4 linked regions of the Neodiprion lecontei genome follow. The protein of the gene in region 4 interacts with the protein of the main gene of each other region in a pairwise test. Links are inferred from orthologs where the notes say so. Each region holds a gene or a part of one and is shown on either strand. Other genes may lie near its edges.

The links. The genes of interacting proteins can lie anywhere in the genome.
Region 1: the proteins of uncharacterized protein LOC107224707 (region 4) and regulating synaptic membrane exocytosis protein 2 interact in a two-hybrid assay, tested with the Drosophila melanogaster proteins (3 studies listed by BioGRID). The link is inferred for Neodiprion lecontei from reciprocal best matches to the Drosophila melanogaster genes Rbp and Rim.
Region 2: the proteins of uncharacterized protein LOC107224707 (region 4) and JNK-interacting protein 1 interact in a two-hybrid assay, tested with the Drosophila melanogaster proteins (2 studies listed by BioGRID). The link is inferred for Neodiprion lecontei from reciprocal best matches to the Drosophila melanogaster genes Rbp and Aplip1.
Region 3: the proteins of uncharacterized protein LOC107224707 (region 4) and uncharacterized protein LOC107223403 interact in a two-hybrid assay, tested with the Drosophila melanogaster proteins (2 studies listed by BioGRID). The link is inferred for Neodiprion lecontei from reciprocal best matches to the Drosophila melanogaster genes Rbp and unc-13.

What each region holds. Positions count from the first base shown.
Region 1 is NC_060264.1:20,881,948-20,889,904, reverse strand, and holds the start of regulating synaptic membrane exocytosis protein 2, read right to left. Parts: upstream 4,600-7,957; 5' UTR 1,965-4,599; coding exon 1,855-1,964; intron 1-1,854.
Region 2 is NC_060261.1:43,606,423-43,614,136, reverse strand, and holds the start of JNK-interacting protein 1, read left to right. Parts: upstream 1-3,115; 5' UTR 3,116-3,180; coding exon 3,181-3,263; intron 3,264-4,501; coding exon 4,502-4,711; intron 4,712-4,896; coding exon 4,897-5,138; intron 5,139-5,845; coding exon 5,846-6,118; intron 6,119-6,242; coding exon 6,243-6,395; intron 6,396-6,456; coding exon 6,457-6,740; intron 6,741-6,899; coding exon 6,900-7,078; intron 7,079-7,169; coding exon 7,170-7,242; 3' UTR 7,243-7,714. Other genes in the region: tryptophan 5-hydroxylase 1, read right to left, coding at 101-205, 287-385. UniProt on the Drosophila melanogaster protein: The JNK-interacting protein (JIP) group of scaffold proteins selectively mediates JNK signaling by aggregating specific components of the MAPK cascade to form a functional JNK signaling module.
Region 3 is NC_060265.1:23,951,910-23,959,891, forward strand, and holds the start of uncharacterized protein LOC107223403, read right to left. Parts: upstream 4,600-7,982; 5' UTR 4,454-4,599; exon of another isoform or gene 4,341-4,453; intron 1-4,340.
Region 4 is NC_060262.1:35,316,382-35,324,402, forward strand, and holds the start of uncharacterized protein LOC107224707, read left to right. Parts: upstream 1-3,075; 5' UTR 3,076-3,361; coding exon 3,362-3,406; intron 3,407-3,808; exon of another isoform or gene 3,809-3,885; intron 3,886-3,897; exon of another isoform or gene 3,898-4,125; intron 4,126-4,234; coding exon 4,235-4,348; intron 4,349-5,461; coding exon 5,462-5,787; intron 5,788-6,195; coding exon 6,196-6,388; intron 6,389-6,573; coding exon 6,574-7,014; intron 7,015-7,286; coding exon 7,287-7,599; intron 7,600-7,707; coding exon 7,708-8,021.

The DNA.
Region 1 (7,957 bases), on a different chromosome or scaffold from region 4:
AGAACTCAAAGGTTTCTTAAATTATTCTACTTTCAGTCCCACAGTGACGATTCAAAGAGCTAAGACTTGAAGGGAGGTCTATCAGAAGTCCTTGTTGTAGATGCGTGCTGATGGAGTGTTGGAAAAGTATCTTTCACTTCACATGGCATGCCTTGCATTTGTGATAAGGATATATCACCCCGCCAGTTGCCCATCTAAACTGATTTATCTCGGAGCTATATTGTTTTACTTTCTATCTGCGTACAATCGCCCAGCAGTCGCCACCTCAGAAATGGTCGTAACCGGCATTCTTCGACTTCTGACACCTTAAAGAAATCCGTCAACATTTTTTGTACAGATACAATTGGGGCGAAAAACACAGTGAATAATTGAAATGAAGCTTCAACTCCAATTTAAGTTGGATTTCCATGTTTGGAATAAACTAATACACTATTCGCTTGATTTTTTTTTTGTTCTAACAGTATGTTTTTTTACTTTACTCCACCAGTCTAATCATATATCCGTTCTCCTACATAATTTTTAGGCTCTCCTTACACTTCGTTACAAACATCAGCAAGTATCTCCAAAACGTGAATTGATTATCAATCGGCACGAGGTTCAAATTTTCCAAGTGAACGGACTCAGATTTTGATACTTCAGGACGTGTTTTAATCTTAACTACCGCCATTCGTTGGATATGCTTTAATATTGTTGTAAATAAACGTGAATAAATTGTTAGGATGACTTGTCCCACTTTTGAAATATCAATTTCTTTCATTACATTGTGTTTTGTGCACCTTTAGAGAATGTTGCAAAAATGCTTTAGTACTTTCGTCAAATTTTATCCAATGTAATTATAATTCCGACAACATCGCTGAATTCAAGTATCTATCGCCTATTTACGCATTAATCAACTGAAGTACACGTAATAATCATACACCGTTCAAGGAATCAAAATATAATTACACTATGAAAATATTTTATAGGGTAAAAAGTTCTCGGATCATGGTGATCTATGATGAATTTAGGCTGCACGTTGCTGGTATGATGAAAAAATGATATTCATTATCGTTGCGCGATACGTCTCTCTTGAGTTGCATTTGTATTGCCAACCATACATACATAGATGATACACAGTGTTATTTAGATACTCAGTCAAGTTTTCGTAGCGAAGATAACATTCCCCTGAATCCATTCATAATAGCCCATAACTTTCACCTTCCGTCAATGTATTTACGTGTCAGGCATTCATAGATAAAATCAATGCAATCAACTGCGAGCGATTGGGTTAGAAATTTGAAAAATCAACATTGCAATAGATGAACAGTTCAGAAAAATATACCGTAATACCTCCAGGGAATATTGTTCGTTGGATATTAAAAACCAGGCGCATTGCAAACATCGTTATGTCAAGTATAATTCCAACATTTTCTTTCAAGTTTGGTGATAAATAGCTCTAAATAAACACACCCATAGCATTTGAAGAAAAGTAATGAAATCTATTGACCACCCTTTGAAATATACCGGAAGCCATGTTAATAATCTGTTGCTTGTGGCAGGACGTAAGTTAGATCTGGATCGATTGGATTAGGTTAGATTGTTAAGTCACGTGACCAAAAAATTTGGTAAAAGTCATAGAATGGATAACTATTGATAAGTTGTCACATTCTGGGAGTATATGGTTGAAATGAATCTGAACGAATGAAACTTTCACAACAAGGATGAACGGTTTTCTGACTTTGTCATGTTTTGCTATTGGTACTTCGACATGCACCATTCTTGATAGTGCATCCTGCGATGTGTTGCAATGTTATGAACATTGAACGAAGTGTTTGGACGATTGACGGTGGGTGATGACATCTGGTGAATACTAACCTCATAATCTCGTTTTCCCGTTCTTCCTCCTGTTTTTGGCGCATCATGACGCTCTCGATGATGCGCCTTTCTTCTGGAGTTAGGTGCGACATGTCTGGGAGGTCCGCCATCACGGCCCGACTGATCCCGGGGGCGCAACCCTGTCCTCCACTTTTGTTTCCGTCTTAATAATTGATAAAGGTATAAAAAAATGCCGGCACGTTAGGGGCAACAGCTGGAGCTGTGGAACAAACCGCGGTCCGTAATGCCGGGATAGTGGGCGCCTGTTCTCCAGGAGGCTGATCGAGACACATGGGGCGTTGACTACAACTACGGGGCGACTCGTCGGCGGAGTCATCCGCCACCGAGGAGCCAAACACGGCGAACAAGGCGTGAAAATGAGACAAGAAAAACCTCGGAAGACGACGAAAAAAAGCCGAGGAACGCCTCGATTATGATCGTTAATAGACAAATCACTATGAACTCATTAAGTCCACTGTTACAAATCCTCCACCAATAATTTGCACCCGTTACAATAAAGGGCGTCGATCTCTTCAAACAAACTCTTCTATGTAATAAACTGCACCGATTCAGTACTATCGTCACTGCAGCACTAAATATACAATAATTATTACTATTAATATTATTGTTGTTATTACTATTATTATTATTATAATTGTTATTATTATTATCGTTACAATATCCGGAAGCACGCTGCAGTAGCTTGCAGAGGTTAAAAAATTCTACAACTGGCGGTCCAACAACTACACTGATCGTCGTCTCTGAAAGTGAATCGTCGATTTTGCGAATGTCCTTTGATTTGAGGTATCTTGCACTTGCGTCATTCGCATCGTTCGTATAACAAATCATGATCGCAGAATGTGAGGCGGTTTTACCATCATTTAACCGCGGCTTGAATAGGTGTATTATCAAGGCTAGATTAAACCTCCAGCCATGCACTCTCTCTCTCTGCCTCTCTCTTCATCTTCCTGCCTCGTCTTTCTTGTCACTATTTATACCGTCGTAACGCGCTCCACACGTCACACTTGTATTGCTGCTGTCGTTGCTGCACCACTGCACTGACTAGGGGTGACGGGGGGTTGAGGTGGGATGGGGGGGAGGGGGATACAAATAAATCCTCCTTAACGGGTAAACGTAGTCAGGATCAATAGTCGGCAACGCGTTCTGAATGAATCCACGCCATGCACACAACCATCGTTATATAGCTGGCGGTAATTCTCTCTATATCTCTCTCCCTCTCTAATCGTGAAATAGGATTCACCTACAACCCTATAATTCACTTCCAGCGTATGACGGTTTTCACTTCTCAAACTGCAGATCACCTTGGCATGCACCTCTAAAGTTCTACGGTTTTTCTTCGTTTTACTACTTCAGCTTTCAGGTGACGATCCTTCGCCGGTCAAGGATCCAGGATTCTTCAACAGAGGACGAGATTCCACCAGCAGCACCAGGAGCATTGATTCCAAACGGGCAAACGGGTCAGGTCACAAGTCCACGATATGTGGAGCACCGCGAGTAGTAGGTATCTATGTACAGTTTCGAACGAAAAACAGGTCGTACGCACTTTCCTCGTGCATCGGTATAAATCCCGTCAAAATATAAGAAAAAAAGTAAGAAATAGATAGAGGAGAAAGAGAGACAGAGGGAGGGAATAAGAAAACCGTAGAGATAATTCGGCTCAAAAACGGAACAGTAACAGTTGGCGGCTTCGTCGTTATGATGCAGCACTATTTTTTTATTTTTTTTTTTAGTGTACTTATGGTTATCCTCTAGCTGTATTAAGTTGTCTTCAGACTGAAAAAATTATTGTTTCAGGATTATTTCAACAGGACGAACGTTCAATGCCACACACACGCTCACGGATCAGTACTCAAAGTCACCCAGTGAGTGCCGAAAGATTCGATTGACTAATAAAAAAATTTCCGCGCACTACGGTCTACCAACATCAGCAAACAACCCCACATCCAGGGTCCGCGGTTTCGGACCACAGTCCCGACAATTCGATCTCCACTTGTCTGGGTATTGAGGGGAGTCAATTCCGTCGAGGAGGGTCGCACCAGTCTCTGTTCACCGCTAGCGTCACTTTTGGACTAATATCGGGCCCGCTGCTCACCCAACACGACATATTATCACCACGGTCTGCGCGTCCCACAGTCTGTCACCAGATAACACTCTTGCAGTAAGTATCCGAGGTTCAACTCCTCACCCGATCTTCATCTGCCTACCGCCAACCGACCGCTGTTTCCAACCGTGAAAATAAGCTCGAACAACACCGGGCAGCGGAACGAAGACTCAGCGCGATCCACACCCATAACCCCGTGAACGGCTATGCCTGGTTTTTCTTCAGTCCCGATCCGCTTTCGCAGTTCCGTTATCAGCTCTCCACTGGGTGGATATCACTGGTCTGTTTACCCGGCTGTTCAGCCTGGCTCTCTTCCGTGCACAATAACGTGTGATAACCGACGCGCGTTACGTTCGGTGGATTTTCTCGAAGCTGGGCCGACCGCGCGACCATCGACACGGCGTGGCCTCAACCCGGACCACCATTCTCCGGTGACGATTTGCGCGAACACTATTGCCGAGGGAGCTTTATTCGCGTTGACGTTGGCGCAGGTGGCGCCACCTGGGCCGCGGAAGCGGGGGCGGAAAGCTTCTTCTCCGCGCCGCCGCCCCCCGAGCATGTATCTCGGCTGGCTTCAAGCCGCTCCGGCTCTTCAGGGGCTGCAATGCCCGTGCCCGTCGGAGGCCGATCTCTTCTGCGTAGGCGGCGGGCACCCGGACGCCAAATCACTCGTTCATGCGGTCTGAATAAATAATCGGATGCGGAGCGAACCTCGGGCCAATCCTCGGACCGGGACGCTGCTTACGTCACCCGACGCCCCGTATTGATCAACGCCAACGCCAATGGCGCTCGACATCGCGACGACTCCACTACCACCGAATCAACCCCCAAAGAATTCTACCACGTCGATGCTCCCGCGACGCCGGAGAACCGCCAATTTTGACTCGACGCGTTCTCCGGAAGCCGCCGCACGGCCATGCACACTTCATGCCTCCCAAAGACCGGTGTTATCATGGCATTAATTAATAAAACAGGACTTTAAAACGGGTTTTACATAATTATTGGCGGTGTGCAAATCGTCGTCGAATCGAATTATTCGAATTAATACATACAAATCACTATTAGATTTATCTCAAGTTATATTTATGTCGGATCGAATTCTTCTATTCCATTGACCACAATAAAGCCAAAATAATCCCCAAAATACGTCCAAGTGTACCTAAAAATGAATAACTTTTCAATCGTTTTGCAGATGACAATAAGCTCAGTTCTTCGGAGTTCTTTCAAAAACAGTTCGTATTACATTGTCAGCTGTAAGATAGTTTGCCTTGAAATGGTTTTTGATGTAAACTGTCAAGTCTAGAAGATGATCGAGTTGAAACAAAGCTCGAAGAGCGCCGAACGGTGGCCATGTTGGTTTCACACTATAAATGTTTGAATCCGTCTGTCTGAAAATGTCTGATCAATAACCGTTATTCCACAAAGATTTTTTACGTAAAATGTTCGTGTAATTGCGCAATAATCTTTGTGTATGAGCGAATTTTTGGAAAAAGTTGATTAGCGTTGATTCGCCTTGATTACAACTATAGGTGTAGTTGAATAGTAACCTGCAGTATCGTTTAAACTTGTGGGTCAATTACTTCAGAAATACTGGAAAAACTGTAATTGCAATTGATGTGGTTATTTGCTGTTTCCTCTTTTTCAATTCAACCGATCAGTTGCAGAGATCATCTGCCGCGGTACTTGTTGCGCAACATTCAGAGAGGTTAAAAATGAAGGTATAAACTACTCGCATCTCAGGAATCAGGGCTCAATCCTCGAAATCAGCGTGAAACTTTCTGTGTGACCTTGTTTTTCCATCGCGAATTCGTAAACGAATTGCTGATCCGTATTTATTGAAACAGCTTACCTTTGGATCAACTTCTTTTACTCTCGAGCGTTCTTTTTTTTTTATTTTTGGTGTTTGTTGTTACGAATGACAAATTTCCCAGCGTTTTCCTGTCAGTAAACATTCACCTGTGAAATAATCGTGGAAATCAAAGTCAATGCGCTGATTTAAAGTAATTTCCAATCATTTGAAGTATACGGGATTCATTGGAAATCGTCGATCCGTGAGTATAACTTATATTGCGAAATTGCATTGAATATAGAGAGACTACGCCGAAGCAAATTCAAGTCTCTTTGGAGGCGATTCGGATTCATTGGAGAAGCCGCTTTTCGCAAATGAGAAACCGAATCAAGGCATTCGGCTTTTCCGTGCTTTCCTCCATACTTGTGGAATCCTAAACGCCTTGGACAATTGATTCATCCGAGATGTATTTTTCTGCATCTTCATCTCCGTTTTTGCCCGTTTTTATTTTATGGATTTTTGTGGTAGGGGAGAGGCGTGCGGGATGGGCCCTAGCAGGGAAAATGGGTCCATTATACAAACAAATGACATTTTAACAAATGTCGATAAAGTTTGAAATCTATTTTTGGACCATAGGCAAAAAAAAAATTGCTTTGTCGAAATTGGTCTAACGTTATTCCGCCCTTAAGATGCTCATTTTGCCCGCCTATCCCATAAGCTATGACTTACAGCCGGGAAGCATGAGGCTGGATGGTTGAAAACTTCGTCCTTTTCTTCTTCTGCTTCTTCTTCTTTTATTTCACTTCCTATTCGTCTTTTCCATTTTCTTCTGTTGTTTATTTTTCTGTCTTCGAAATTCTTTGAATTTTCCGGGATTCCTGGACTAACAACTCAATTTTCCATGCATTTTTAGAACTTGGGATATGCTGTAAAAGAAAATTATTCCAAAAATAAAAAAGTTACTGCTTCCTTTACGAAGATATTCCAGAATTGAAATTCAATATTTCCCTTCACTATTCGTTAGATTTGAGTACGATTTTTAAGTACATTGAAGAAATTCTATGTTTCAAAAATCCAAAAACGTAATCTATCAATTTTATGCGCTACTTAAAAATGCACAGAAATCAAGAATGCCCAACTTCTCTGAAGCATCGATGATTTACAAATGGGAGATCCATTGCAATAATTGTTTTAACATGAGAGATACATTTCACAATGCAAAGATATTTAACAAATATTTCGGTAAAACATGATTTCTTCGGTCAGAATGTCTGGTGTGAATTAACGTCAGACAATTATAGATTGGCATTATATTTTTTACGGTATTCGTCAACAGGTTCGAAATATAGACGCAAAATCAGAATGGCTGCTGTTAGACACACTGGGAATTTTATTTCAGCTCTATACTAACGTTTGGAGCTCGTTGGATATCAGATATTATTTCAAGACACAGAAAATTACAACATCGGATACTGAAGTATAATTTCACGTTCAGCCAATTTCTAGTAACCGAGAATTTAGCCTGCAAAAATCACTTGTACGTAAAAACGTGTGAGAAAGGAGTAGATATCAAACTGTAATAATAGTAAAATATGAACGACCGGATAAAGTCACGTTATCAATGGTATAAAATAATGTGCCTGAAATAAGAAAGAAGACTAAAACCGCGTGACGTATAATAGTAGGAAGGAACGGAGACTGCAGAGAGAAACCGATCAGAGAAACACGCTGTGAGGATTTCGGTGGGAATGGAGCATGCGAGGTTGCAAGACTGAGGTAGAAGTAGCGTGAGTTATCGTTATTATACGTACTTCTGCATCTCACGTGTCACAAATTGCAACTTTTCCTAGCCGGTAGAAGGGGGTAAAAGGAGGTACGGGAGGGTGGCTACCGGGGGGCATTGATTATGCGCTGTAGGAAATGGCGCCGACAGCAGTGTCGGCAGCATCTCTGGCACCGGTCCAACGCTCATCAATCAGATCTGTCCGCAACGCGGCGTAAGAAATGAGCGGAGACCGCAGACGACCGACCGACCGGCTCGAGGCGAGAGAACGAAGGTGCGGGATGACAAAAAGGAGGAAAGGGGGCAGAACAAGAGTGGCAAAGAACCGAATTCGGGGGGCGGGAATATCCGGGGGTGAAATTTTTAATAGAGTATTGACGAGGACACCTTATACACCGCATAATGTTAC
Region 2 (7,714 bases), on a different chromosome or scaffold from region 4:
GCTGCCGAGATTCGACGTGTTCAAGAAGAAAGAATCTAGGATCCTTAATTGTTCGGCTGCGGTATACGTACTTGATTCGATCAGCGGGCAAGCAGCTTACCTGGAAAACTTGCAACGCTCGAGCTAAGCCTCCAACTTGATTCTTCAGTGAGAAGATTACCGAATTTTTATTCTCCTCACTTGCGTCCCGCTCAGTCATCGGGACCTGGACACGTATAATCGGATCAGAAGATCGTTCATTTCTGAGGATCAACGGTCGCCTTCGTCACCGATTTCATGTACTCACGTCTGGAACCTTGTGCATCGGGCTTCCCTCTTTGATGGCCCACTCTTGGCCTCTTCTGTAGAGCCACATGCCCAAAAGACCTTTTCCAGAACCGCTCATAACTGTTGCGTATTTACGTAGGGATTTTATTTGAAATCCGCAGCCGCCGCAAGGCTCAGGAAAGAAAAATTTCACGTGTTCTTAATCGAAGATTTTCGATTTTACTTGGATAAACACGTCTCGGTAAAGAACGCAACGCAGGTTCAACCTCACTCTTGGATGATGCTTCTATCTCTCTTGCGGAAGGACCGACAGTGTTCACCCTGCAGCCGATTCCGGTCTTCTTAAGCTTTTCACCCCTCCGCCGTGGCGTCCTCGCTCCCTGTCTTCGTCCAACATCGGCTCCCGATTGGTCCCTGAGCAAGGGGATGACGGGCAACTATTGGCAGAGACGGTTTTCTATAGGAGTACGGGGATTATGGGGGTGGTTCGTTCTTGCTCCTGAGGACGCTATCCTCCCTCTTTCCCGGTCCTTCCGGCAAACTTGCGGCGAGACCCTGTATAATCTCTGACGTCCTTGAATTCTGACCTCTATCCTCACCTCTTGAGAATATTCACGACGAATTACGGAAACAGTTGAAACAATGAGAAGTGTAACTTTGATTGTTGGAGAAATAATCGATTGTTAAAAATTAGCAGTATGTCGAGTTTGTATTATCGAGCAGCTTTAATTAATTTCGAACACAGGTACTAGAAAATCTGTTAAATTTAACCGAGTTCAGACAGATTATCTGTTCGTTTGCTGCAGAAGACTTCTTCATAAAATGCACGACCAAGTTACGTCAATTGGTTTACAAATGAGTTACTAATTGGATTCGTCGTGTACGGGACCATTGTTGATGCACATCTGGCATCGCTTATAAACCGAGCAGTATCATAACGCTCCAAGATAGTATTTAATTTCGCAGACACGGACCGTTACACACTCACTCTTTTGTCCGTGAAAACGTGAACTTTCGTAACTCCAGAGCAGCAGTCCGGATCGAACCAGACGAACAATTAATCATTGCACATAACATGTCCACGGACGAATAATGTAGACGACGGAACGATTATCCTCTGATCGGCAAGAAATATACCACGTATCCTTCTGCTGTCACGATGTTGCGTACGTTACGCAGACTTGACTTATGTATTCGACGGGAGTACGTCGTAATTTGTCGAGAAAAGAAAAAAAAAAAAGAAAATGCATCAGACGGTACGACACTGTGCTCTAAAATTGCGAGATTGGTCTTCTGGATGAATGTGTGTTTAGTATGAGAAAATGCTGGGGAACGAGAGTAGGAGAACGGAAAGCAAATGAGAAAAGGAGAGACAATGCTTAACAAAAGCCCGAACCCACTTCTCTACCCTAGCGAGTCCTATCGGTTCTCACCGCTTCTCCACAAAGCAGATACAGCACATTATCCAGCCAGCCCATCACTTACCACTATCAGCTACTATCCAGAGGCAGTCGAGGTGGCCGAGTTGTACCGGGTGTTTCGCTTGGTTTTGCAATAGAAAAATAACGATCTTACAGACCTACCTTGCTGCTAGAACGCACTTCATCCATGTGGTGCATCGAAAGGAACGGTGACGTAAATACATGCCGATTAAAAATGGTCAGCAGGGCACAAGCGTCATAGACGAAGTTCGCAAGCGACATCCAGTGGCCTGATTATCGTGGGATTTGAGGTGACAGACGCCTGTACCAGACTTTGGCTCACCCGTGGTCTGGGGTGTGGGCGATAGTCGCAGGCTACACTGCGTATATCTCTGGAAGTGTCTGTTTCACCTTGCTTCAATTACTTACGGCCCGCATCCATCGGGGAGCGTCTCATTCGCTGAGCGAACGGCAAGACCGGGTCCAGATGAATGGCGATGCTCGGACCGTCTGCCGGCATCGGAGATCGGTTTACTGCTTCTGCCCACTTCGTCGAGTGTTATGTTAAGGGTGGCCCAGTACCGGCCCTGTGGTTATCACTCGATGTCGGTAGCTGGAAACTCTGAGATATGACTACATGTACTTCGATAAGCATGATGAATCGGCATAAATTTTTATACGATAAAGAAAATTGCGTGAAGTCTTTTCAGGCTCGTTGTAACAGGTAGACGGAGGTCGTACGCGATTCGGTACAAGGTTTCTCTCAGGCAATATAGTACTCGTTGAGAGCGGGGAGTTTTATTCATGGAACGAAAGTGGAGAGGAGTCTCCTGGTTATTTAAAGAGAGCTTCGATTCGAACTAGCGTTTGCAAAGCCGGTGGGAGGCAAATGGTTAGGCGCAAGATGATGGGCATTCGGTGTTGGCAAACACTAGGATCCTTTCAACGACGTTCCTCGGCACGAATGATGGGACGGAGGTATGCTGAAGAAACGAAGGCGGAAGCCAGCCGAAAATTAAAAAGCGTACGAAAGGTGAGACCACTCAATTTCGAGGTGCTTCATTGGCCGAATTAGGGGAAGGACCTTGTCAAACCGCATTAGTTGTACAAGGTAGTCATCGTCCAACGCGTCAACATCGGTATCCGTATTGTAGGTACTTCTCACGATCGTTAACAACAGCGGTTTAGCCAAATTTTCTCTAGGTATAATCAATGCCACCAGTGTCCGAACTCTTGCAATTGTTTGCTTGGATTTGATGCAAGTGGTTCACGGGTGACGGGACGGCGTTTAGGCGCTGCATCACACGAGTAGAAGTTTCGTATTTCGTTCATCCCTCTGCGCCCCCATATTCGTTTTTCATCTCGAGGCTCGCTCGAGGGGTGCGCGCGTCACGCTGCGTCCAGGAATCAATAGGTTTGCGACGCGTGCGCCGCCTTCGTCCGGCCCGGTCGCCTCCGCCGTCGGCCGCCTCCACGGACCGACCTTTCAAGAATGGCTGATTCAGAGTTTGAAGAATTCCGGCATTACTTTGAGAGACTGCCTCAACATCTCAAGGCACCGATATCAAATTACACGTGAGTAATTTTATCAGTTATCTTTCCATCCGTGGTGGATTTTACTGTGGAGGAAAACACTTGACACGTTGAAGCCGCTCGCGTTGATGAAGAAGCACCCTGACATGCGACATCGTTTTCACTATCCTTGTCAACGTTAATGGGTCTATAGGACACGGTGATATTTATAAATAACGTCACAATCATCATCGATCAATGGTTTGTTGGGGCGATCCACGGTTGTCAATAAACACGGGGTGCAATTTACAGCATGAGTAAAAAATTCGTCGATGCAGCGTAAATAATGACAGGGAAAATTGTTCTAATAGAAGAAATATAACTACATCATCCTGGTCGACAAAATCTTTCTGACCATTTGGTACAACTTGTGGTTTGCCGAGCCTTAGTGAACTGCAGTTTACGAGTATGCATACATATTGTATACAAATGGATTCTCAGACATTTCTCATGGCAACTGTCAAATTTCGTATTCCTTGTATTCTGCCAGCCTTATTTCAACTCAAATTTCATCCAATAACGTCTTTTTAATGTTCCGCAACCCAGGTAGAGGGGGTGAATCAAGAGATGTGGTTTCAATGTACTTCAGGAGTTTCAATCGATACCCGAAACACTGTAATTGAAACCAAAACTATTGACATGTCATGCAGGAGAGGGGGGGGGGGGGGGGGGGGGGCAGGTAAAAATCACCAGCCGTGATATTGAAGCGGAATGTTCATGGTCGGTAAATTATATGAACCATAAACGAGCCGTCCAAGATCATTAGTATATAAAAAATATTTTAGGAGCGTATTACAAATATCGTTGAAACCCGATGTGCTCCCAGACTTAGGGTTTCAGTTTACCACAAGAGCATGGTGGTCAGAAACTTCATCTGCGCATTGGAAAAACGGAGTAAGTGTAGACGTTTCGTGCGCTCTAGTAAAAATCAATGGCTGGCTATGTGATCAAACGTTTATAAACTATTCTTCGACGAGGTCTGGTACATACATGTCCTTCCGTACGGTATTCAAACTTTGGGGTCGGCGTGGTGAATTTTTTTTGGTAATCAATAGCATCTTAGGGAAGAAAACGTACGCGCTTCGACAGCTTCTCTTTCAACAAGCACTTTCAGACCAAAGACCGATGAATCGAAGGAGAGAGCTTACTAATCTGGAATCTAGTATTAAGCACATGACGTGAGGTAGAAGAGTGAAATTTATGAATGAGCGTTACTTGTTTCGTCTTTCATCTCGCGACAGACTGGTCCACGATGTCATGGTCGACGATTCACCGACGTCCTCGCAGGGCAGCGACGGAGACGTCGGTCAGAATGGTGCAGCCGTGGACTCGGAGGACGACGAGGTTGTCGCGCTTATTCATCGTCACGGAAACCACAGCGAGCAGAGCTCAGGAGACGACGACGAAGAGCTAGACCACCACTGTTCCATCGTAGCTGACAGCGACTTTAGGTATGGCAAGTGCACTTTCCTCGCATCTCATCTTTGCGTGGGTTCTCGCTCATACGAACGGCAGGCGAGTCCGAACCCGCGTAGCTATGAGTCTGTTTATAAGATCGACTCTCGATGGGAGGTTAGAAGATTTCAATGGCATGTGAGTAGACTAGTGACAAGGACACTGCGTTGGGTGACATTAGCTTGTTCGGTGGACTGAGCAGTAGGAGGCGATCGGTTTCCGGGGCTGGAGGAGGACAAGGAAGATCGGAAGGTGGAGGCTGCGGCAGGGAGAGTGTAATCAGTGACGTAGGTGACTCCTGCTCGAGCCTCAGCTCCTGGCCCACTCCGGAACACGTGCCGTCAAATCGTAGCGGAAGCGGGTGCACCGCAAGCGGCGAACGCAGGCGGAGACGACTTCCGGAGATTCCAAAGACGAAAAAATGTAAGCATTGCCAGTTCTACGTAATTCACATCGGTTGACACGTGACGACGAGTAAACGTGCTCACGGTGTATTGTTGAAATTTGTATTTCCATCGGTTCTCCCGAGCAAAGAAAAAGTAACGAGACTCGGGAGATTATGCCGATGTTGTCGTCGTAACTTGATCTCCGTCGATCGCCATTTGCGTGAAACATTAGCAGCCTCTGATCACAAATCATGTGTGACGAAAGGAAATAGAGGCTTTTGCTGTATGAGGTTGACATAATTAACCGCAAAATAGACAAGCGTACAGAAAATAACCGCCAGAAAGAGAGCAAAAGGAAACAAAAAGAAAACTGCTGTATGTAACGAATCAGTTCTAGTCTCGATCTTCGGAGAATTCAGTCGTTACTTACCTTTATTTCTTAGATTATTCGAAATAAACTCGGTGGAAAATAATAGTCGTACTCACCGAGTGCTACAAAGACACGGTTTATGAAAAGAGAATCTTCTGCAATTCCAATCATCATGCATTACTCTTGTGTCTACAACAGGGGTGAGTTTCACAGTCGTAAAAGCTCTGTGTTTCCTTGAAAATTGATTGGATCGTGAAAACATAACGGTATACATTAAGAAAATCGTTAGTTTGAAGTGAAAAGAAATATCATGCTCGTAAATGTGGAACCTGGAGAATTTCCTTGAGTTATGAACGTATATAACTAATTGACAGCCGTGTCGATGTGCCATTCGTCTCTTCACTCGTCTCCGTCGCTCGCCGACGAGCTGGGGGCGGCAACGTCAACGGCGGGACGGCCGCATCTCGTTCTGAGGAAGTATCATCCGCGTCTCCGTCATGAGGATAGTTCCCCGGACAGCGAGAGAATGACGACGGACAGTGGCCACTCCACCGCTCATTCCCCAGACAACGGGCCCAAGAGTGTGTCTCCAATTCCGTGCAGCACCGTACAGAATACGAACTCAGTCTCGCCGAGCAGCACGCCAGGTGAACGCAGAAAAAAAAAAAGCAGAAAATAAGTAGCAGAATTAGTAAAGCTTCGATTAGTATCCAAATCTACGGTGGTTGTAAAAACAATACCTTATTCGTATTGAAAATTTGCTCCCTCCAGGTAGCGGTGGAGTTCCTTTCACGCAGCTAGAACTACTGGAGGCGACTCATCGCGGGCTGCACAAGTTTGTGCCGCGACATCACGACGAAATCGACTTAGAGATCGGGGACCCGATATACGTGCAGAAGGAGGCTGACGATCTTTGGTGCGAAGGTATGAAACTCCGGCGGCAGAATTGTCTTCGATAAGCAGAGTGAGCCTCTTCTCGTTTCAGGTGTGAACCTGAGGACTGGCAGACAAGGTATCTTCCCTTCGGCTTACGCGGTGGACATGGACTACAGCGACTTCGATCCTTCGGCTCCGAAGGTGAAACGGGAACGATACCTACTGGGATACCTCGGATCGGTGGAGACTCTTGCTCACAAAGGAACGGGCGTCGTCTGCCAAGCCGTTCGCAGAATCGTCGGTGCCCCGAGTCAGGAATCGCCCGCGTCTCAGAGTTGCATTCTAGAAGTGTCTGACCAGGGTTTGCGGATGGTCGACCGGAGCAAACCGCAGGTAATGGCAGGGGAGTATTTTTCAACGATTTTCGAAAGCCACCGTCTTCGACGGAGAAGTTTTCGTTTCACGAAAGAAGAACCACAGCTCTATAGCCCTTCGGTCCTAATTAGAACTCTCACGAACAATATGTCTCGTTTTTTTCTGTGGTCCCTGCAGAAAAATCGGGGCCCTTGCCACGACTACTTCTACTCGCTGAAGAACGTCTCGTTTTGCGCTTTTCATCCACGGGATCATCGCTATCTCGGATTCATAACGAAACACCCAACGCTCCAGAGGTTCGCCTGTCACGTATTTATTGGCCAAGAGTCGACGCGACCTGTTGCCGAAGCAGTTGGGTAAATAAAAACTATATTGATATATTGCGTATGTTGCATGGTTTCTGCTTACGTAACGAGGAACGTGGATGTCTTGCGTCTTCTGTTGCAGGAGAGCCTTTCACCGGTTCTACACGAAATTCATCGAGACTGCTTTCCCCATAGAAGACATCTACATAGAGTAATGAATTGCTGAAATATAAGTTGCTGTTGACGCTGACGATCTCATTCCCTTGTAAATACCACCCCTTAGCTGATTTAGCCTTATATATACTAAGTCTAAATCAAATGCCCAATATAAACAATTACGATAATAAAGAATCATTATTCGCATGGTAAAAAAACTGCGACGTGTTCAGCCTTTGCAGAAAATATTTCGCGCCGGTTCGCCTAGATACAAGAAAATACGTACGGTAACGTTAATTTTTCTTTCTGTAGCGGCTGTACACCCTCAGCGATTAAATTAGTTTTTCGTGGTATATCGTTTTCGCACGACGAAATGTATTATTCGAAGAGATTGAAAACTTTGAGAAAAATTGTTTTTAATATGTACTAAACGTCGCGCATTTATACATAGATATAATACAGTGACGATTGGGCGTTCGATTTTCACAATTGGTGTACTGATGGACTGTTGAGAACTCGCAAGGTGAGCCT
Region 3 (7,982 bases), on a different chromosome or scaffold from region 4:
ACACTTGACGTCATTTCGCCGAGAGAGGAGAAGAACCGTAACGACGTTAGCATTTCCTTGTTGAACTCCAACAGCTCCAACGTCGGTAAGATACAGAGACAATTTGATAGTGTGAGGCGAGGGAAAAAGAAGGGGATCGAGTACTCGCGAGACCAGGCACGGCTGATGGCTAACTAGTTTTCAAATTACACCTACCATTGGCTTTGGCGCAATTAAAAGTTCTATTCACGTAGGTACGTGCAACGTCTACCTGCTACGGTCCGTTCTTGCATTTCACGCAAAGCTGCAGACGCGATGCGTCGGGTTTCGCCTTTGATCCGGGACGCCTCGTCGTTGAGAATTGTCCCAGAAAAGCCAGCTGAGGTAGGACGAAAAAAAAAAATGACTCGGTGTTTCACCGCTTTACTTCCTTTTGACGTACGTGTTGAATATGCGCGGCTTGGACGGCGAAACATTGAACACGAGTTGTAGAAGCGCGACGCGGAAAAAACCTGCTGTTCGAAATAATTTCCCGACTAAAACTAACGGGGAATGAAGTAGCAGGAAAAATAGGATTAAATCGATTTTTATGTGTAAGAATGATTCTCGCTCGAATTAAATTGTTGCATATAATACGACCTCGAAAGCTGAACGAGGGGCGGAATGCTTAATTGAACCTCTTCAAGTTAACGACTACAGCTCAAAGGCCCAAGATTCATCTTCGTCATTACGATCCATCCAGGAAGTAAGGTTACAGTCCACATCTCCGAATAATACCCTCGTTTGATTTCAGGAGTTGTAATTTATTTTCTACCCTAAACTGGTCTCCCAGTTTTGTGATTGGATTATGGGGAAACCAAACGGAGCTAATTTTCTCTCGGTGTGATAATTCAGAACGAATTCAGTCGATGTTTCTCACGAGTATATTTATGAGATCGACGGTCAGGCAGCGAGCCTGGAAAAGTGTGACGACGACACTCACCGATGCTGCAGTGTCGGTCCTTGACCGTCGATCGCGACGAATAAGATGTAAGAAACGAAAGAACTCGGGGAACATCAATTTCCCCCGACGTCAAACCGCCGCTATACTTTCGGGCATGAACCTAATCTCGTTATTGCAAGGAAGTAAACTGCGAACCCCAACGGTTCACTCGATTTTAATTGATCAGCTTGAGGATCAAAATTCCTTGCGCGACAAAGGCGCAGCGTTACTCGCGAAATTTTTAGCAACAGCTTTTCCCGAGAGAACAGGACAAGCTCACCCCGTCAACGAGCCACTCAAGTTCCATTGATACGAGTGCAGTGAAGGCCCCTTCACCCTGCTCTCGCCTCTTCGCACCGCGTTTCGTCGCCCCTTCGCCAAAGGTCTTACGCTTTTCAAAAGCGACTTCTCACCAACTTTGCTTCGCAGGTTTAGACGAGCTTCAATGGACGACGTCGATCCGAAATTAATGCCCAGTTTTTGCTCGTCTCGCGGCGAGAAAACAAGGCGAAATCGGAAAGTCCGCGTAATCATTTCACGCAATTCGCCGACGACCTGGAGCAGGGAATCTACGTGTGTAAACGGACTGTATAATGTGAAAAACTTGAGGTGGGTGTGCACGTGTACGTATATACGTACACAATATGTATTATGTGACCTATCGAAATATCGATTAAAGGAGGACATCTTGACAATAGGGACAAAGCCATGTTGGCGTCGCGGTGGCCGCGGGGGGCGGGGTGCGAGGCTGGGGGCGAGAAGAGGAGTGCCGGAAGATCTCCTGCAGCTTCGACCGAGCTGAGAGGAGTCAACGACTTGGACCTCGCATCGATTGCAAATATTTAAAGCCGGGTCAAACAGGTTCCGCGGATAAGTAGGGCTTGACACGTTCCGAATAGCTTGACCACCATGAGCGTAGGGAGTATTGATCCTGATTGAGAAAGCCCGACACCCCCCGAGATTGTTACTGCCAAATGGATTTGATTTCGTACTACGATTCGGTTACACCACGATCTTAATTTGATACGATGAGAATATCGACAAGCGGAACCCAGTCGAAGTGCAGAGTTGAAGGCACAGGGCGAAACTGTTGAGCGAAAACTCGTCATTCGAAAACAAGCGGAATTTCAATGCAATTTAATGGATTCCATAATAAATTGAGTCATTTCGCGGATTTGATTGCCGGTAATCAAACGGAGTCCACTGCGATAGTTTTTCATCAGATATTTGCTCACTTCGGAAAAACGACCCCACGGAAACATCGAGAATTAGAAACGTGTCAAACGATCATCCTGTGATCGTAACCTAGCGATCTGTATTTTCAAATCGACCACTCGCGGCTTACGTGACTTTAATTTTAACGTGGCAGAAGAAAACCGTGATCTCCAAAATTGGTTTATTCTCAACATTAAGGTGCTCAACGATGGGTAACGTACCTTGTACTATCTAACGTGCAGGCAAAAGGCAAGTGACAGAAACATTTCCAGTGAAAAGAGGTGAAATTTAAAAAAAAACGGTAAAGTAGAACAAGGCATTGTGTGACCAGCCGTAAGCCGAGCGGAGTTTGCTTCTGGCGTCAGATTCAATGCACGGACTTACTGCAAAACGTGGTGGTGAAAGGCAATGATTTAAAAAATAACAATAGAGGCGGGTCTGTATGGCGAAGCGCAAGAGGAAAGAAACGCGGGAGGGTGGATCGACGAGCTTGAATTATACAAATCAGTACAATACAAAATTGCGGGATTCCCGTGACCGTTGAAAAAGGCCAACGAATGAACGTGGAAAAAAACTTGAAACAAAAAAGAAGCTAAAAACAAAGAGCACTGGAGGCAATTTCATGGTTGCGCGTGGCCGAGCGACCAAGGTAATGACAGCGATGGAATCGCTTTGACGCGGGGTGAAAAAAAAAAAAGGAAAAATACAAAACCCATATATAACGGAATGAGAATAGCTTGGCAAAGTAATACTAACGTACGTTTCTAAAAAGGAATTGGTCTGACAGAGATTGGAAGTTTTTGAAATTTAATCATAGATTCTAAATCCGTCTTAACAATTTGAGCGTGGTTTATAATTGAAATTGAAACCAAAACAAACAAAAAATAAAAAATAAAAAAATCTTTTTCCCGTCGGCGCGTTGTTCATTCAATTATTTCTTCTAAAACCGTACAAGGTGCTCAGTTATCGCGGTAGTGTTCCTGTCTGAAGTAATTTTCAACCTGTCAAAAAGTATACCGTCGGTTAATAGATGAGAAAATTCGCGCCCCGCTACATCTCTTTAACAGTCCTTGGGGACGAGAGTAGACGAGAATATCATGAGAGAATCCTGCTGGAATGACTATTGACTTATAGAGGCGTGCAGAGAGACGGTGGGAAACTGAAAGAGGCACACCCGCCTGCCTACCGGTACTGAATAGAAAGTGTCTACTAGGTCAATTGTGTAGGTGGTAGGTATAGTCCGGGCTAAACCTAGGTGTCAACAAGTGGGTTCACGTTGGCACCATTTCGGACTTGTCGTTTCGACTCTTTTGTGTGTTTGTTTTTTTTTTGGGAGGGAGCGAGAGATCGTAGAATATATTTCTGGCAGAATCCCTAACGGCCAACTATCGCGGGAAATCGTGCGAATTGAAACACTGACTCCCTTCGAAACTGGCCCAGCCGAAGAAGCGGCCAACAACCGTGGCTTGCGGCCGTTTTCATGCCGTGAGAACGCGATTCGCGGAAGTTGATATCACCAAGGCTCGAGGGAAGAAAAGAAAAGAAAAAAAAAAAGAGTCACCGCCCTATCTCGCGTGCGTCTTGCGACTAATTTTCTCTAACAATAAGATCCCGTCGCGACGCCACGTCAACCCGTATGCGAAACACCCTTGTGAGATTGGCATCGCCGCCAGCTGCAGAGTCGACAACGCAACTTTACGCATCGAGCTTGCAATCAATATCAAACACCGCGTTCCAGGTCGCGAAGCACTTTATTAACGTCACCGCTGCGTCGCTCTTTGGCTCGTTCGTTGCTTTTCCAGCCGATTCGGCGTGACGCGTGTATTACTTTTTTTACCCTCAAACTTTGCGAACCCCCTTGGGAAGGGAATTTGGACCCACGTTAAAACTCGCTTTCATACCAGACGACGGAATTGGAATTCAAGTTTCGGGGGTGCGGAATTAGGAGGCGTATATCGTAATTTAAATCTATGAATGGCGCGTCGCTGGGTAAAGCCGAGACTTGAGGGTGGAAAACTTGGATTATACTCGGTTCGATTGAACGGAGCGGGCCGTTTATTCCGTCAAGCGGCGGCTTACAAAGCAGCATACTGCACGCCAAGATCTCGTCAGCCCGGCGAACCGCCATTTACCCGTAATTATTATTATTTCACTTGCTGGTTACCTGATGTCGTTGATTATTTACGGTAAATAATGTGCATTTACAACCTTGGACGGTGGTGTAGCACACAACCTATACCGAGAAGGTTGATTTACACCTTTGATGCGGATACATACATGATACGGAAGATCACTCGAGCAAAATGCGGCATAGCATCTGTGCGATTTACACCTGTAGGTATTCGTACAGGAATCATAAATTCATCTCACACTGCACAGTATAATGTAGGCCGAGATTGGCATTTCGTTGTTAACACGAAGTTTATATTGTATAACGAAATTTTCTTAACGATCATTATTTTTCATAAATATACATATATATATATATATATATTCTTGTGTGTATATATATTATGCGACAAGTCAACTGTAACTTCAACAAACAATCATTGATAATAATTGACAGTTTTCGATTGGTCGAAACATTCTATACGGTTCTACGGCATCTATTATACTCGCGCACACATACACTCGGAATTGTTTAATCTAACTCGCGACGCATTCACTGCGATTCAACTCGTCACTAGGTTAATTCCACTTCTATTTACCGCACTAATTTGTCGCATTAGTGCCACTGTGATTACAATCACTCCACAATAAATTACCGTAAGGATAAAATGACTAGCAATGATTTTTGTTTAATATTTTTCCCCCCTCTTCCTTCGGTTTAATTTCGTACTAGTATTTCATTAGCGATATTGCGCGCATACAGACTTGCGTTCATCCACGCTGTGCCTGTATACGCTTGATAAATATATTTTATAGAACGTGTATAATTATATCTCCGTTTATTTATCTATTCCCTCTTAACTCCGAGTTTAATATCTCAACTTTGTATTAGGCAGATATGGATTATTAACGTAATTTATGCATTTTCCCCAGAGTCGATTCAACGCCGCGATAACCCGAACGATCGCGTGAAACTTGCGTGCGTTGGTGGCGATATTTTACACATATACGTGTATGCGTGCTTAACGTAATGTAACACAGGTATCCGAGTTTCCTTTGCCACTTTAAAGATATTGTAACAGCTTCGTGAATATTGAGCGATGTTAGGTCGAACTTATTATCAAAAAAACGTGCAGCTTAACACGTATATCGAAGGTGTCGGAAAAAATGAGTAAACTCCCGAAAAAGTGGGTCGATTGTGATCACCGACGTGGCAAGTAGAAGAACGGTTATAAAATACGCGACACGAAACACGATCGAAAGAGTATTATATCATGAAATGTAATAGAATCAACAATTATGCAAGGTATTATTACTTATAAACCGATTATTGAAAATCGTCGTGTACCGCAAATCCACGATAACAACACTCGAATGGTATTGTAAAATACAAACGACAACAATGATTACGATGAAAAATTGATATATATTATTTTTTGTATGGAAATAAGAGCAGGCAAAGAATCGCAAGGTTAAATTTATCTCCGGCACTGTAAATAAATAAACTTCTCCACTGGTTTTCACTTCCAGTTTAGCAAGCCTCGTACGATAGCTTTAGAATTTCGTTTTTGTAAAAACTCGTCGCGATTTCTAACCGCCGCCGTCTCCGGACCCAGGTGAGACCCAATGTGGGCCGGGGGCCGTGCAGCACGGCTTCTGCTACTGCCGCCCGCCACAACGTGTAGCCAGGCTACTGAGGCACCCCTCAATCAACCCGAGGAGGACGACGACGAGCACGACCGCCACCCCCTTGACTACGCATGCGCCTCGACGAGGAGCGCCTCTGGTGATTCAATTGACCCTACATTTTGAATTCACGCACGCCGATCCGGTCGTAACGAAACGCGCTAATGCTTGTCTCTTGGACGCCGTCCGGGCGCGGTCCTCGAGTCGGCGGCGTTAGCCTCGGAGATGCTGTAAGTCGTTTGACGGGGATGCGGATCGGCCACGAGGCCTGGGGCACGCGAGACGTGACGAGATTGAACCAGGCGGTGGCTTTTGTACGTGGCGGGAGCGTCGCGACGCGCGTTCAGCAAGTCCACGCGGCCATCTCCTCCATATTGATTTTCCTCGTCGGCCGCGTTCCACGGCCATATCCTCGTCGGCGCGGTTCGCGAAAACCACGCCGAACAATCTCCTCCCCTTCGTCCTTGCAGCAATAATTTTCTCGATCCTCCGCCAGTTCCCGCGATGCGCCAGTTTCTTTTCTTTTAATCGCTAAATTCAGGGGCGATGTTTTTCCACCCGCGACGTCAACGTCCGCGATCCCGACTTCGGGTATTGCGGAACGCGAGGATTGGCGGTAAACGGAGCTGCGGGTTGCTAAAGGTGTTGAAAATACAACCTGCACCTCGGGGCTGAAAACGGAGCTGCTGAAGCAACTCGTTACGAGAATGCAGCGGGAAGTTTTTGCTCTGCCAAGCCACATTAGCGGGGTGGCGAATCTAGCCGAGGTGAGGAAAACTGCTACCTGCAGAGCTGATCTATGTAAGAGCTAGAGACGCGTTCCGCGCGCTGGAGCGAACGTCTTGGAATTTATAGCGTAGCTACGTTTCCGCTGCCATGGTTACGGGAGAAACTGGCGTCGCGGCCCACGCAAGAGGAGCTTTCAGAATTCTTGTTTTCCAATTTTCAAGATTTACTTTTCTTCCTTCCGCTTTTTTCCCCTCCCTCCGTCGTCTCCAAGGAAAAAGCTTAATTTCCAGCCGACATCCCCCTTATCTCTCAATGACGCGAGCAGTCGGATTTCGATCGAGCCACAGATAGACACTTTCGTTAATCACGTCCCCTGAACCCCTTGCTTTGGGTATTCCCGGTTGATTCTGCGAGGCAATCGTTGGTCACGCAGAGAACCAGAGCGGAGAATTAATTAATCAATGACGCCCGCACTTTGCTCCGCAGCCTCCCGTAGTCCTCTTCGATCCATCCGCGGCTGTGCGCCGTTAGACGTTTCAACCTGAGATGCGGAACAAGGTAGGTACACACCTGCGATCCTGGCTTATATACATACCTACATAAGTTCTCCGCGTACGGAAAGCCGAGCGTTATTGGCTAATCGGCGTTTGTCCCGCACCCACGCCGTTCTCCTTGATAGTAATTACCTACAGATAGATAACCAGGGATGATTAGCGACGAGTATCCCGCTTTGACTACGTCGCTACGTGTCTATCCGCGTTGATATTTGGCCAACAACAAGACCTGCAGATGCGAATTAACAGTTGCATGGGCGTCTCCGGAACAGGTGGCGGTTACGCGTTATCATTTTTATTATTTCAGCTCCTAATTTCGAGAGAAAATTCGCCGAGTCGTTCGTTAGCGCTCAATTAATCAAGTACGAAGTTTCTTTGGGACCAAGTCGGGACAGTAAAGCCAATTAAACTTTAACTCTCTATTTGAATTAATCATGCACCATTGAGTCTCGGCCACCGTGGATATAATTGTTGGAAAATCTTTATCGGCGTTCGAGAATTCTCGACGGATATTGATAAGAGGAGAGGATGACACACAAACCGGGGAAAAACATGATGAGAGATGATATTCAAAGGTATCTATTTCAGAGGGACACGATCATTCGGGGGTATTGAATTCATTGCCGCGAAACTGACGAGGATCCCTCAAGGCTCGGTATCCGGAATACAGTTGATGCTTGTAGCGTGTCTGTACACGTAGTGCAACTCGTTGTCGGAATCGATCGCTA
Region 4 (8,021 bases):
GGTATCGCTCGAGCAGTTACGATCAGAGACTGACCACAGTACATGCATGCGGTTTCGACGTACGAGTATCGTAATCCAGCCTATATTCCCTGAGCAGGGTGGCAACTTCTTCTCTTCATTTAATTAAGCATTGTCTGCGCCTTTGATTTAATTCCATGCGTCACTTCTCATTCATTACTATGCGTAACTATTTCCATAATGTCCCGGTATTTATATGTCTCACGTGTTTTGCATGTGACCGTACAGCGTATATAACATACGAATTATTCCCAGTTGCTCAGTTTCGCGGACGTAGGTGAATTATTCCGAATTTAAAATGCAGTAGGCCGCGCAGTAATCGTAAACATCATTTATACGCTCGGAAACCGTATAAGTCTGTTTGAGCCGCAATAAAATTGTTCAAAACTAAATAAGTAGGATATTGTATAACAAGGAGGCAAACTCGGCGAACAAGTACACGAGGCCAGAAAAGACCGTTGCCTTCTTGTTGCAAGCGATTCTATATGTATAAACAAGAGTATGTTACACGTTTTTTCACAAAGCTCGAATTCGAAGTTCGGGTCGCGTGATGTCAGATTTGTTCGCGACAGCGCATGCGCGCAGTACTGAAAAGACCACTTTCAACTCCTAGGATTTAAATGTGGTCTTTTCAGTACTCCGCGCAGGCGCATTCATAGACTAACCCAGCCGTCTTAAAAACGGGTATTTTCTGTACGAAAAACACACGTGGAAAAACGCGTAAAACATGCTCGCGTTATATAAATATGTTTCTTTTTTTTTTACTTGGAGCACATGAAATTTGCACATTCCTTTGCCACATCATACGTCGTGCGTGAACGAGCTGTATATTTATATTTTCGAGTACAGCCTAGCAGCGATTCGCGATGTCACGCTTTGACACAAACCTCAAAACTTGTAATTAGACGATCTACTGGATTTCATCGACTACATGATCGTGGTCGTCAGTTCAACAGACGTAACGAAGTTTCAGTTCAACATACAGACAGAAGAATGAATGACCCGATTACGATTTACAATTAGTTCGTTTTCCATTCCGCTGTGTTTCCGTATTTTGATTTTTACCCCGTAATACTTACAATTACATATTCTTCGTTAGTTTGCCATATTTCCAAGATGTTAGTTCATGCCAACGATACGAACATCTTAATCCTTGAACCATATCTGTAGTTTCCAGTGTGGTAGCATGGTCCAGTTATCGCGGTTTATAGTGATACTTCGTACCTTTTTCGTATAACGCAGGTACTAGAACTAGCATTCACGTATGAACTTGTTGCGGTGTTCCTCTTCATACGCACTATTAACATATTTTGCTGTAATACCGCAGTGTCAAATTATATACTTCAGCCTATGGAGGTAAACATCAACGCATTAGCTATGCCATTAATTAATTTAATTGTCAAATTAACAGCAGCAGTTCTGCATCCATTGCGTCACGTGTACTCATATTCTGATTCAAGCCACACTGCAGATTTTCGAACAAGATATTGGGTATTCATTTTTCATCCATCTCGGAATGGAGCAAGGCCCTCAAACTTAATCTGAGCGGTACCAAACATCCCGAGATCGGATCGTCTATCGGCTGCCAATTTATCCGCCATGTATAATCGAGAACTATGTTTGGACTAGCATAAGAAACATTCCATCACAGAATTCACGGAGAACGTTTTCTCGAATCAGTATAATACGTATAGTTCGTTCGATCGGTGAAAAATCCATTTATACTTGTACGACCACAATGTAAAAAAGTTTTCCGTTTGGCACGAAAATCTATACACATGTAAAGAAACGTACCGGATAATCATGATCCGTGATCTACGATTAAGCCCCCCGATTGGTATCATAGTCGCGTGAATCACGCTTGGAGATCTACCTATACAGGGGTTTGTAAAACATAGAAACGGCAGGGCCTTCGGGTGTGAGCAATCGGGCAAACCGAATACGGAAATTGCGTGCAGCAAAGACCTTATAGTAATCCCCGCTGCTGGGTAGGGGCGCAGTGGAAAGGCCGACGGTGGACGACGTTTCCGTTCGGTACCACACCGAGACGAGCCCGACGACCAATCGCGTACCGACGACGTACGTTCATTGATAAGCGCGTACTCCGGACGGTCGGGTGCGGGGTGTTCCTCGAATAGAACGTGACGTCATGTAGGCGGCCGGTAGCGCCGACGCCGAGGGCATATGCGCGAGCGTCGCCGGCCGTGATTTCGGGGTTTCGGGCGTCGAGCGGGGTGGTTTCAAAAAGGATTTCGGGGCAGCGCGGATCACGGCCCTTGCTGCTCGCGGATCGTCAAGGTGACCTTGGGCCTGCGATAACCGTTATACGTGGAATTATCACTCGGGGGGGATATGCCAGAGGGTTGCAGATATCGGAGATTGTCGGCTATATTGATTGGTCTTTTGTGCGAAAGCAGCCACTACACCTCCTGTCTAGCTCTCTTTCTCTAGGAGCGGAGCGCGTCATCGATCCGCGAGTGACCCATATCCGTTGCCACTCCTCCCACCTCCCAGCTCCCACCTCCCGCCACCCCCAACCCACCCCGCTCGCCTTTTTTCCCCTTGTGCCTCTCGCAGCAGCCCTGCCTGCTGCCAACGAGCAGATCTTCGCGGGTTCGGGATGATAATCCAGTGAAACTCACTCCGCGACGAACTCCACCTGCAACAGCAGCCCTGGCCTGCCAAAATCCCTTCAATTCGGTCATCGTAAGTTTCAAACTTAAGTCTTTATTTCTTCATTATTATCATGACGGTATAAGGCACCGTATAAGGATCTTCGCTGATCCTCATTCGCCCTCTCATTATCATTTTTACATCCAGTGTCGTGTCGGCTTTGTTACGGGCCCCGATATTACCCTCGATGGCGGTCTTGTCATTCGAGAGAAAATGATGCTACGAACATTCGGCTATGGCTACATCGTCTATCGTGATGATGGTAATGGTTGTGCAGGAGCATTGTAGTGGTCGTGGTTGTAGCGGTTCAGTGGTTTGTGCGCGCCCGGTACGCGGTTGGTGATCAATAAGCAGTGTCGTATCAATTCTGGGTGCTGTTCGGCGTTATCTGATGATATCTGAACGGTTGTTGCCTTCAGCCATCTTCACCCGACACCCTGGTCCAAAGTGTATATCTCGTTACAATTTCTCTCTCGAAAGTTCAACTTGTCCGAATTTCTGTCCCACTTGATTGCGATATCTGCAGTTACGGAATTATCGGTCTCGCTTCTTCCGCATAAAACGCGTTATTTTACCAGTATATCGAGGTGATTTCATAATAAATACGGAAATATTTCAAGTTTTATGAGAGAAGCTTGATAAGTCCCGTCAACGTTAAGCGTTCCAAAGTATGAAGACTCGTTATTGTCAGTTTCAACTTACGCTCAGTGATCAGGTACAAAGTGTAGTTCATCACGGTATTTCGTAAATTTGTAAGACATGCATCCGTGTGCATGAATGTGGCTCTGTATATTATTAACGGTAACAATATATAGTGCTGTTATTGCGAAATTGTTGCAAAAGATTGAAATAAAAAACAACAGTAGCAGGTAAAGGTTCAATAATCATGATGCAATGCTACAGCTGGTAGACAATTATAAGAATCATCGATCGTTCTGCCGATTTCGTCTCGTTTCCATTATCGTTCCATAGTAAATTTTCATTGCGACCCCCGTTCCGGAATTCGGTAGTCATCTAGGCGCGGAGACGACGATAAAGGTGGTGCCGCTCGCTCGAGTTACGCCACTGTAGACGAGTGGGGGGTGGTTTTCTCCGTCGGTTTTCGTCGTCCTCCGACGCCCGCCGTCGCGGCGTTCCGTCAGTGACGGTGGCGGGTTCCAGCAAACGGTGGGCCGACCCTTGGTCACTCGAACTGTACGTTACACGTCCGAAAGATAGTCGGGATTTGGGTTGAACCCGATTTTTTTGTTCCTCGCTTTTTCTGCATACTTTTTATCGCCTGTACCTTCATCTTCCGTCATACCCGTGGCTGAAGAATGATGACGAATAATACGAGACGACCTCAGAACGAAGGGTCACTTTTTTCTTGATAAACACCTCGACCCCTTTTTTTCTCTACCCTTTCATCAGAGTAGCCACTGTCTTGACCGCAATGTACAGTATACTATTTCTCCAACGAGATAGAGATTCTAGTGTCGGAAATTACATCCTCTGAATTGATTGTCGGGTTTAAGCAGTGATCAGATAACTGGATATGTTACAGTGCTGCGGCGTTGGAGGTGGAGGGGCATCGACGGGGCCCCAGCCGCCACAACTGCAGGGGACCAACACAAGAACCACCATCATGCAAGACCCCGTCCTTGAAACTATCCTCGAGGTGAGTAACTCAGGATGAACTGATTCGACTCGACGGGTGGTCCCGAGGGCTTATATTGTATCTTTCAATTTTCGAATTTTTAATCCGAGTTCACTGATTGGTCAAGCAATGATTCCGATTGGCTGAAAGACCGGTCAAATTTGAAAGTACGCAGCAGAATAGACCTTTTATGGAATGTTACCCTTATACTTTAGTGTGTATCGAATTGCATGATAGAGAAACAAAAGTACGCCGCACCTTTAATTAATGCAATAAATTCAAGTAACTAATTTATCTGACTATGCAGAATTATTATTCATATGCTGGGTATAACGAACGGAATTTAGAAAAGTTTAAATCTACCGTACTTGCCCGGTATCAGCTTCTAATAACTTTACGTAAATATTATGCAAGAGTTGATAGTATAATATGTTATAATGCACTTTCACGACACTCCCGTAGGGTCGCGTTTCAAACCCGCTCACACCGCACACGGTATGTGTACCAACGTGTACGTATTGCCGGCCTGTTAAGCTGAGCGAAAAATACCGAGGAATGTTTGATATGCGTTCAGTTGCCTAACGTAATTTTAATAACCTTTATGAGGCTACACGCTACCGTATTGGATTTTCAACACAACTTAATACCATGTAGCTCCGCAGGCTCAAAGGGCCTTTTCTGGGCTGATTCCTTTCCAATTTCATGATGGCGTTGCGCGTTCTTACGGTGGCGGCGATTTTCTAGCGCATGTCTTACTTCACTGCTAAACCGTCGTTTCCGAATGTTGAGCTTTAGACAGCGTTGACGCTTCAATAATACGCAAATCTCCTTAATTCGATTTTCGCTTATCGTACATATACTCCTCCAGCTTTAGTTAGATATTCAGCTATCCTACTCGACTTCGAATTTGACAGCTTAGCACAGCCGGCCACAGCAATGAAATCCACAGGCATGTCTATGCAACTATTTTTTGAACTACAATACAAGACCCTCAAATAACTCTGCGAATAACCGTAATTCTACCATGAGGTTCGGATGAATATCCGAAATATAACCCAACACTCTCAGCAATTATATATCTCTATCTTAAAATGAAATAATCTAACGTAGCAATTCGTTCGTTTCATTCTGTAGCAAATGCGAGAGGCCGAGGCCCGCAGAGCAGAATTGGAGAGGCAACATGCGGAGACGCAGGCGCAGTTACGTGACAAGTTAGCTGGCCGGTATCCAGGACCAGAGTCTGTTGAAGCACTGCAATCGAAGATTAGGGAACTCGAAAAGAAAACAGAACTCCAGATGGTTAGACACGAAGAACTGTCCCTAGAGCTGACCAGCTTGAGACGGGCACGTAGCAGAGGACCGGTTGCTAGCAACGTGACTTCAACAGTCCCTATGTCCACGTGGCCCCCTGCTGGTTCTGAAATTGATCGAATTATTGCCAAAATTGAACAGGACAACAGGTGATAGTCATGGTGTAATACAAATCTATGTGCTTCATTAAGCATTTCATTCAGCTTCATAACGCTACATACTTACCAGATTTTGCTAATAGAATCACCCACATAAACCAGGGAAATATATTGTACCATGTAAAATTAGATATGACACCTTATTACTAAAAGTAATCAATGTGTCCAGTGGTTCTTGTAATGTAAATATAAACTGATGTGGCTCAAATGACGCATCGAAAATTCAATTGCAATACACTGGTCGACCAAAAATATCCAGTTTGTGTGATATAAATAGTCAGAATGCTAGTAACGTAATAAGTAGAGGGTGTTATTTGAAAATGCCTTAGAAACCTTGTACCACCTACATTCATTCCATCTAATTCTTTCTGTCTTTTAATTTCGATTACACACACTCAGCTTAAGTAAAACCAGTGCCAGTAGGATTCTGCACGAGTTGGATCATTCGAGGAGCAACGTGACAACTCAACAGCCTTCTGGTTCCCAAAGTATATTACGTTCAAGTTCAGAAAATCTTCCCAACTTGGGGCAACATCAGCACCCTCCACATCCGCATGCATTAAACCTTGGTCTACCGTCACAAACATCACACGTGAGTTGTCATTGATAAATAAGCTACGATTTTATTGCTCTATAGAATATATAGAATGACTCTTTCAACACTAGTTTCTAATACCTGCACAGCTTTCTTTGTATGGTAACATTATTGTACTAACTTATCTGAAAAAATATTTGACAATATAGTAAGTTACTCATGCTGATATCTGTAATTAATAGTACGCTGGCTCTCCGATGCCATTAACACCAATGATGCCTGGCTGTCCACCGTTAACACCAAATGGTCCACCGTACCACTACAGCGAGCCGATTCCACCTGCACCATCTCTTTCAACTAGCCAATCACAGCCTGCGTTTCAGCAGAAGCTACAACAATATCAGCAACAACAACAGCAACAGCAGCACGAACTATCAAGCTCGCACTCACAAGGCACCCTACCGTCTCAACAGAAACAACTACAAACACACACGCAGTTTTCCGGCAGTCAATATCAAGAAAGTTATCCACATACACAAACGTACCAACAACCAATACAGCAACAACAACATCCTGTTTCAACTTCGTACTTAACTTCTGCTACCGGAGGTCAGAATGTCATGCCTCATTATACGCAACCGAGTCAGACAAATCAAGGCTATCAACTCAACGGTACTCAACAGGTAGGTTTTTCCAGCAACAATAATACGAACATTGGTCAAGAATTTTTCCAAGCATGTTTCTTTGCTTTTTATTACACGCGAATACCTGGTGAATAAAAAATTGGAAAACATAGTCATTATAAAATATTGTAATATACTAGCAAGTTAAGATTCATGGTAAAGAAGACCCAGGCAAAATGTACATGATGAACAGTGAAAATATGTAGATTTCATAAAAATGACTTACATCCTCTAATTTTATCATGTCAATGGATTATTTTTTATCTCATTAGCAGACAACATACCCAACGCTGTCCATGACTTCTCATCCCAATGGAACTTACAACTCTGTAACAACCAGTTATGCATCGCAACTGACTCATCACAACTATTCTGGACCACATACAAGTATCCCCCAGACAACACTTTCTTCTCTTCCACCATATTCGACAACAACACCTGCCTATCACTCAACATTGGGTACCTTGACTAGCTCCTCACAAAATATGCTTCCTTTTTCAACTGGGCAGAGCACGTTTTCGACTGCTGGTTCTAACTACTCTACAGTTGGAACAAATGCATACGGCACGTCAGGAGTGAACACAGGTATAAATGATGTACCACTGATTAAAAAAATTCTCCTACCAATTTTTCACACAGCATACAACTTATTTGTATCATACAAGTTCATAACTTGTTTTTATTACAAATTAGGTCCTACTTCAAGTGGCTTATTACAAGCTATAGGAGATCCCCTCCAAGCTATGCAACAGTTGTCGGCGCAGTCACAAGCTAGCCAACTCCAACAACAAGCTATTATACATCAAATTCAACAGAGCTTGCGAGCCAGCTCGCCAACCGCCACTGGATCAACTGGTCACCACTTTTTGGGACCGAGACAAATGCCAAAAATCCCAACAGGCATTTTATCCAATCCAATGGATCGTCTGACTAATGACAATATGGTGTCTGAAGGACAAGTGGACATGTTAGATATTCCTGGAAAAGGCAGGTGTTATGTTTACATC